Pelodiscus sinensis: one gene and its partner. The protein of the gene in region 2 binds, or shares a complex with, the protein of the main gene of each other region. Links are inferred from orthologs where the notes say so. Each region holds a gene or a part of one and is shown on either strand. Other genes may lie near its edges.

What was found. The genes of interacting proteins can lie anywhere in the genome.
Region 1: the proteins of GRK1 (region 2) and RCVRN are in contact, whole or in part, in an NMR structure (PDB 2I94), measured with the Bos taurus proteins. The link is inferred for Pelodiscus sinensis from reciprocal best matches to the Homo sapiens genes GRK1 and RCVRN. Residues at the interface, in NP_776598.1 of Bos taurus: Phe3, Gly4, Leu6, Glu7, Val9, Val10, Ala11, Asn12, Ser13, Ala14, Phe15, Ile16; in NP_776590.1 of Bos taurus: Lys22, Trp31, Ser34, Phe35, Glu38, Cys39, Phe49, Ile52, Tyr53, Lys55, Phe56, Phe57, Tyr86, Leu90, Thr93, Ser94, Phe188, Glu189.

What each region holds. Positions count from the first base shown.
Region 1 is NW_027465849.1:3,549,578-3,553,321, reverse strand, and holds the start of RCVRN (recoverin), read right to left. Parts: upstream 2,277-3,744; 5' UTR 1,993-2,276; coding exon 1,612-1,992; intron 1-1,611. UniProt on the Homo sapiens protein: Acts as a calcium sensor and regulates phototransduction of cone and rod photoreceptor cells. Modulates light sensitivity of cone photoreceptor in dark and dim conditions.
Region 2 is NC_134734.1:9,963,358-9,967,101, reverse strand, and holds the start of GRK1 (rhodopsin kinase GRK1), read right to left. Parts: upstream 2,521-3,744; 5' UTR 2,311-2,520; coding exon 1,612-2,310; intron 1-1,611. UniProt on the Homo sapiens protein: Retina-specific kinase involved in the signal turnoff via phosphorylation of rhodopsin (RHO), the G protein- coupled receptor that initiates the phototransduction cascade.

The sequences.
Region 1 (3,744 bases), on a different chromosome or scaffold from region 2:
GAGAGCGAGGGAGATGCCACTGTGGGAGGGGAGTTGGGTCTAGTGACCGGCTGTGAGCGCCGTGGCATTTTTAGCCCCTTCTACGAATTTCCACGTGGTTTTTATCGTGATCTCTCTCACCTTTTATCGTGATCACTGCTCCCTCCCCCCCAAGCCTTCCTCCTCCTCCCCCCCCCAGCCTTCCTCCTCCTTTTGGCCATGGCAAATCCAGCTTAAGGCTCGTTATTTTCTGCCGCGGTGTGGGGCAGCGCCCCAGATACCCTGCCTGACCTGCAGGAGCGGCTCTGTGGGGCCGGGTGAGGCCATACTGATAAAATTAACGAGGGGGGGGCTGGCAGCCAAGAGGCTCAGCCCGGATAAATTAGCATAACAGGATTTGGCGCCCAGGGGAGGGGGAGAGGCTGCAATCCCATCAGGGATGTATTTGCGACCAACGCAAGCCTTGATCGGGGCTAATCCACTGTCATGCTGCCGGGTACAATCCTGCCACCTGCCCTAGGGATCAGGCCGCCTCCACGCCCCTCTCTGCCCACTCCACCCGCTCGAGCTGGCCGGTCACAGGCCTGCGCGGCAGGGAGCAGGCGGGATGCCGGGGTAGATGGGCTCGCTGTGATGCTGCATCGGCCTGGCCTCTGTCCACGGGCGGGGGAGCCCAGGCAGGATCGGCGTGCTTGGCATGAGCGGGAACAGGCTGTGACGCTGGCTGAGGGTTGGTGCCCAGAGGACGGGGCTGGGCCGGTCCCCCAGTCGGCAGAACAAGCAGGAACCACAGTTTGGGCTAGGGAGAGACTTTCTGGCTCCGTGGGCACCAGCCAGGAGCCCGGGGGGTGTGGGGGGAGTCCCCTGGCTCCGTTCACTGTGGGGTGGGAATGGCCAAGCATCCCCTTAGGGCACCACAGCAAGGCTCCTCAGGGCACTGCTAGGAAGGAAGCTCGCAGCATGCCTTCTTCCCCCTCCTTTCTGGGCTGAAATCCCTACAAGACATTGCTATAGGAGAGTTCACATTGTTTGCTCCCTCCCCTGCTCCCGGCACTGCTGTGGGGAAGTTCACCCCTCCCTCATGGCACTGCTGTGGGGAAGTTCACCCCTCCCTCAGGGCACTGTTGTGGGGAAGTTCACCCCTCCCTCAGGGCACTACTGTGGGGAAGCTCGCAGCAGCCCCTCAAGACACTGCTGTAGGGAAGCTCACAGCACCCCCTCAGGGCACTGCTGTAGGGAAGCTCGCAGCACCTCCTCAGTGCACTGCTGTAGGGAAGTTCACAGCACCCCCTCAGGGCACTGCTGTGGGAAAGCTTGCAGCACCCCCTCAGGGCACTACTGTGGGGAAGCTCACAGCACCCCCTCAGGGCACTGCTGTAGGGAAGCTCGCAGCACCCCCTCAGGGCACTGCTATAGGGAAACTCGCAGCACCCCCTCAGGGCACTACTGTGGGGAAGCTCACAGCACCCCCTCAGGGCACTACTGTGGGGAAGCTCGCAGCACCCCCTCAGGGCACTGCTGTAGGGAAGCTCGCGGCACCCCCTCAGGGCACTACTGTGGGGAAGCTCACAGCACCCCCTCAGGGCACTGTTGTGAGGAAGCTCGCAGCCCCTCCCCTTGCTCCGCACTCACCGAGATGATCTCCAGCACCTCGCTCTTGCTGATCTCGCCGTTGCGGTCCACGTCGAAGAGGGAGAAGGCCCACTCCAGCTTGAGGTCAGTCTTGCCGGAGGAGGTGAGGTGCAGGGCGATGATGTACTCCCGGAAGTCCAGCGTCCCGTCGTTGTTGGTGTCGAAGCTGCGGAAGACGTGGCGGGCGTAGCCCTTGGGGTCGGAGTTGGGGAAGAAGTTGGCGTAGATCTTCTCGAACTCGGCCTGGCTGATGCGCCCGTCCGGGCACTGCTTCTGGAAGCTCTCGTACCACTTGCACAGCTCGTCCTCCGTGTACTTGGTGTTCAGCTTCAGGTCCTCCAGGATCTCCTTGGACAGGGCCCCGCTCTTACTGTTCCCCATGGCGCCCCGATGCTGCGCCCCGAGCCCGGCCTAGCCCCCGCGTCCCAGCACCCGCGCCCCGATCCCCGGCCTAGCACCCCCGCCCCTCCGCTCCCAGCCTGGCTCTAGCAGGTGGGCTCCTCGGCTCCCACTGGCATCTCCCAGGCCCTGGTGCTGCCGGCTCATATAGACTCCCTGGGAAGGGGGGGGTCTCCGCCAGGCCCCCCCCGCCCCTCCCGCGGGGCTGGCTCCGTGACGTTGGTCACAAGCTCCTTAGCGCTATTAACGGGAGATTGGCAGCCCTGAGCCACTTGGAGTATTGTCGGCCGCTGCCCTTGGGCGCCCGCCGCCCCGCCTTCTGCCGCCTCCCGCAGCTGCCTGCCCCCCCGGCCTCCTCCAGACTAGCTACCCCATCCCCCCGAATCCCCATCCCCCGCAAACCCCTCTATCCCCTGTCCCTGATGAACCCCTCCATCCCCATCCCCCCAAACCCTCCATCCCCCATGAACCCCTCTATCGCCCATCCCCCATTCCCCCACAAACCCTTCTATACCCCATCCCCCTGAATCCTCCATCCCCTGTCTCTCATGAACCCCTCTATCCCCCATCCCCCATGAACCTCTCCATCCCCCATAACCCCCTTACAGAACCCTCCATCCCCGTCCCCCATGAACCCCTCCACCCCCCGCAAATCCCTCTATCCCCATCCCCCATAACCCCCCCTGCAGACCCTTCTATCCCACATCCCCCATGAACCCCTCTATCGCCCATCCCCCATTCCCCCACAAACCCTTCTATACCCCATCCCCCTGAATCCTCCATCCCCTGTCTCTCATGAACCCCTCTATCCCCCATCCCCCATGAACCTCTCCATCCCCCATAACCCCCCTACAGAACCCTCCATCCCCCATCCCCCATGAACCCCTCCACCCCCCGCAAATCCCTCTATCCCCATCCCCCATAACCCCTCCTGCAGACCCTTCTATCCCACATCCCACATGAACCCCTCTATTCCCCCATCCCCCCACATACCCTTCTATTCCCCATTCCCCCAAACCCGCCATCCCCCGTCTCTCACAAACCCCTCTATCCCCCATGAACCCCCCCACCCCGCAAAACTCTTCCCCTGGAAACCCCTCTATCCCCCATCCCCCATGAACCTCTCCATCCCCATAACCCCCCCCGCAGAACCCTCTATCCCCCATCCCTCGCAAACCCCTCTATCCCCCATCCCCCATGAACCTCTCCATCCCCTTAACCCCCCCCCGCAGAACCCTCTATCCCCCGTCCCCCACGAACCCCTCCATCCCCCATCCCTCGCAATCCCCTCTATTTCCCCCGTTCCCCCACAAACCCTTCTATCCTCCATCCCCCTAAAGCCTCCATCCCCCATCTCTCATGAACCCCTCTATCCCCCATCCCCCATGAACCCCTCCATCCCCCATAACCCCCCCACAGAACCCTCTATCCCCCGTCCCTCGCAAACCCCTCTATCCCACATCCCCCATGAACTCCTCCATCCCCCCCAAACTCCTCAATCCTCCATTCCCCACAAACCCCTCTATCCACTCAGCCACCTACCCCCAGCCACCCCATTCCCCCATGAACGATCTATCTGCCTTATCCATCTATCTCAGCCACCCCCTCTATCTATCTACTCCCACCCATCCCCTTTATCTATCTATCCCCACCCGCCATCTATCTATCTAAGGGAATGGCTACACTACAAAGTTAATTTGAACTAACAGTCGTTAGTTCGAATTAACTTTCATA
Region 2 (3,744 bases):
GTGTGTGTTAGGCCATGGTGGGCTTTGCTAAGTGGGGAGCTCTCTCTTTCTCACCCCCCCCCACGCACAAGCAATCATTCGCATGCACACACTCACACAGTCTGAACCCCTCAACCTTGCCCTGCATCTTACAGCCACCCCCCTCGAATGGCTATTTCCAAACTCAGCTCAGCCCCTCAGTCTTCCCTCTCAAACTCAGACCGAACCCCCAAACCTCCCACATACCTCACCTCAGCCCTGCACCCCAAACTCCAATGGCAGGGCTCAGGCTGGTATCCCCTGCCCCTGCCTTTTCAAGCTGAACCCTAAATCTCAAAGTAAAGCTGTGTCTGAACTGCTCCCCACCTACTGCCCCCCAGATGGCTTCCGGTCGTTCCTTCCTCATTGGTAACAGAACAATTCTGATGTCACTGTTATGGAGAATTACAGACGGAATCCTATGATCCCCGCCTCAGACTTGGCTGTTTGGGGTTAGCTGTTTGGGGACCTCGGCTGTTTGGGGTTAGCTTCAGCTGCCTGAGACCCTCGCAGTTAGAGAAGGCAGTTGCCTCATGCATTGCAATTGATTATGTTAATTCTGAAACCTACCGATGACGTCCCACACTTCTCCCAGATGACTACAGAAACATCCAGGTAATATATGTAGTTGGGAAACCCCTAAATTACACACACACACCTCTGCAGGACACTGTCTACCCCACTTCCTTGCTCCAGGAAATCAGGCTCCTTCTCTCTGGGCAGGGCCACATGGCACAATTAGCAGATACTGCCTTTAGCAAATATCAAACCACTGAAAGTGTTGGGTTGTGAAAGCAGCAGACACGCCAATGCCATGGTGTGAAAACACCGCAAGAGACAGTCCCAGCTCCCAGTCCCCCTGTGCTAAGCTCTAACCCTCATTTCCTCCCAGAGACAGGGAGAGAACCCAAAAGACCAGGCTCTCAATCTAGCTCCCTTGTCCCAAGACTGGCTCCTGTCTCTCCCAGCTGAGTTGGGCCCCAGCACCAATGAGGAGACCCAGGGATGGCTCCTCAATAGCCAATCAAACTGTGGGAGATGTTTGCACTAACCAATCAGAAGGCAGTAAAAATCTTTATACCAAACCCTCCATCCCTCCTCAGTCCCCCCATCCATGTGCCCCGCTGTCCCTTCTCCATAGAAGTGGGGAGCAATGCAAAGGAAGTTGGGATCTGCACCAGCCTCCTGAGCACCCAGTAATGAAACAAGGCGGGTCACCATAGCCCCACATCTCTGTGGAGGGGAGAGGGGCTGTGTCCCTCCAGACTAACCCCTAGCCCATGGAGCGACCCAGCTGCAGGCACATCAGAGAGCCCTCGAGGCCACACCTGTGCCCCACGCCACCTAGGACACCCTGGCACCCAGGATCCTGTACACAGCAGCCCACACGGCTCTGCCCCAGCCAACTGGACCCAAGGCCATGCACTTAGAAGAGCCAGCTCCCCTCCCAGAGCTGGGAGAACCCAGGAGTCTTGGTTCCCTAACCCTCCCCTGAACTAATCCATCAGCCCCCCACTCCTCTTCCAGAGCTGGGGATGGAACCCAGATGTCCTGGCTCCTAGCCTTGGGGCCTGCCCCCCCCCAAGCTCTTGCCTCATATCCATTGCGTTTTTTGAGCCGCTTCTTGTTGAGTTTCTTGTTGGCGTACATCTTGCCGGTGGCCCTCATCTGGCAGGCGCAGACCTCACCAAAGCCCCCTTTGCCCAGCACCCGGAAATCCAGGAACCACTCCTCCGTCACACTCTGCCCCTCCAGCCACTTGAACTGCAGGAAGCGGGCAAAGAACAAGCTGTCCTTGTACTTGGCCAAGGCCTGGTCCTCCAGGTGCTTCAACAGGTGCTGTTCTGTCTCTTTGAAGAGGTCTGCTCGCCCATGCTTGGCATCTTCCTTGACCCTCATGACGACTTTCTCCTCCAGGAAGGAGCAGAAGGTCTTGGAGGCTGAGTCAAAGAATTGGTTGACAGTCTTCTGGGCCTTCTGGGTCCTCTCATTCTCCTCGGACGCTGCATACTCCTCCATGCTCTTCCAGAGTCCGCCAGCCGCCTTGAATGCCTCCTGGTCCTCCAGGAACTGTTGGAAGAGCCGCTTGCCAATGGGCTGCCGGAGGCAGATGCTCTGGAAGTTCAGGTCCATCTGGTCCTTCAGGTGTTCACACTGCGTGATGTGGGGCAGCTTCAGTTTTGCCCGCATCTTCTTGTCCCGCAAAGTGGAGGCCGCACTGGCATCCACGCTGCCCCGGGCTGACACATAGGCTGAGTTGGCCACCACCGTCTCCAAGCCGCCAATGTCCATGGCGGTGCTGAGTCACCTGCAGAAAAGAGAAGGGAGAGGAGATGAGGAGCCGGGTGCTGGAGGTGGGAGGACAAAGCCTATGTGTGGCCTCCCAGAAGGAGGGTATCTGTATGGCCTCCCAGAAGGAGAATGCATCTGGAGAGCTGGCCTCAGCTGGTCCCAGGGACCCCCGACATATCTGGATGGTGTCCTGAGACAAGCATATCTGGACATGGAACTCGGACAGCCTTCCCCAATGGCTGCAGGTCTCACAAACATGTGGATGAAACAGGGAAGGAAGCCTCTGCTGCACCCAGCCCCACCAGACATCTGAATACCCCTCCCACATACATCTGGCCAGCCTGATCCATCTCCTATCTGTATAGCCCAAGGCTCCCCACACATCTGGGCCTAAGTGGACCTGGCATGGTCAGCCAGACACATAAACCCTCCTCTTCCCCCGGCCCCAATCCCAGCTGTGCACAAGGGCTCCACAGCCTCCCACACATACACTCAACTAGACAGGCTATACGTCTTGCACTAGTGCAGAGGTCCACCCCTTCAGTCCCTGTTTGCACTAGGGCATGGTGTTTTCACCATCCACATCATCCTGGTGCAGAGATTAGCTGGGGGATGTGGAGGTGGCAAGGGAAAGTCAACCAGAGTATGTGTACAGTGGTGTCCATGCAGTTTCATGAGTTCACGATTGAGCACATGTTCATGCAAGACTGCATGTGTGCATGCATGCCTGCATTTTGTGTTTTGTGTATGCCGGCGTGTCTGTGTGCACATGCAAGATACAGATATAAAATCCCATTTCATTGGTTAACTGGTTAAAGGGGACACGGGAGAGGGGGTCCCTGCCTGTAGGGCACCCAGACTCCCTATGGAGAGAGGCTGCTCTGGACACGAGAGCAGCCCCCGCCTGTGGGATGCTCCGGCCTACTGTGGACAGGGCTGCTATGGATGACCAGAGCAGACCCTGCCCACAGCAGGCAAGGAGCTGCTCCAGCCCCTACCAGTTAACCTTTCACATCCCAAATGAAAGATTATGCAGGCATGGGCACATGCAGGCAAGAGTGACTGTGGGCACGCTTGTGTTTGCACAAGCATTTGTGTTTAGGGAAAGTGTATGTATATTTCCAGATCAATATATTTGTTTTGCTTGTGCAGGTGAGCCTGAGCACACATGTGTTTTCTGGGGCTGTGTGTGCACCTACTCTTGGGGTATGTCTACACTACAAAGTTAATTCGAACTAACGGACGTTAGTTCGAATTAACTTTGATAGGCGCTACACTAGCGCTCCGCTAGTTCGAACTTAATTCAAACTAGCGGAGCGCTTAGTTTGAACTAGATAAACCTCATTTTACGAGGACTAAGCCTAGTTCGAACTTACTAGTTCGAATAAAAGGGTGTGTAGCCCCTTAATTCGAACTAGTGGGAGGCTAGCCCTT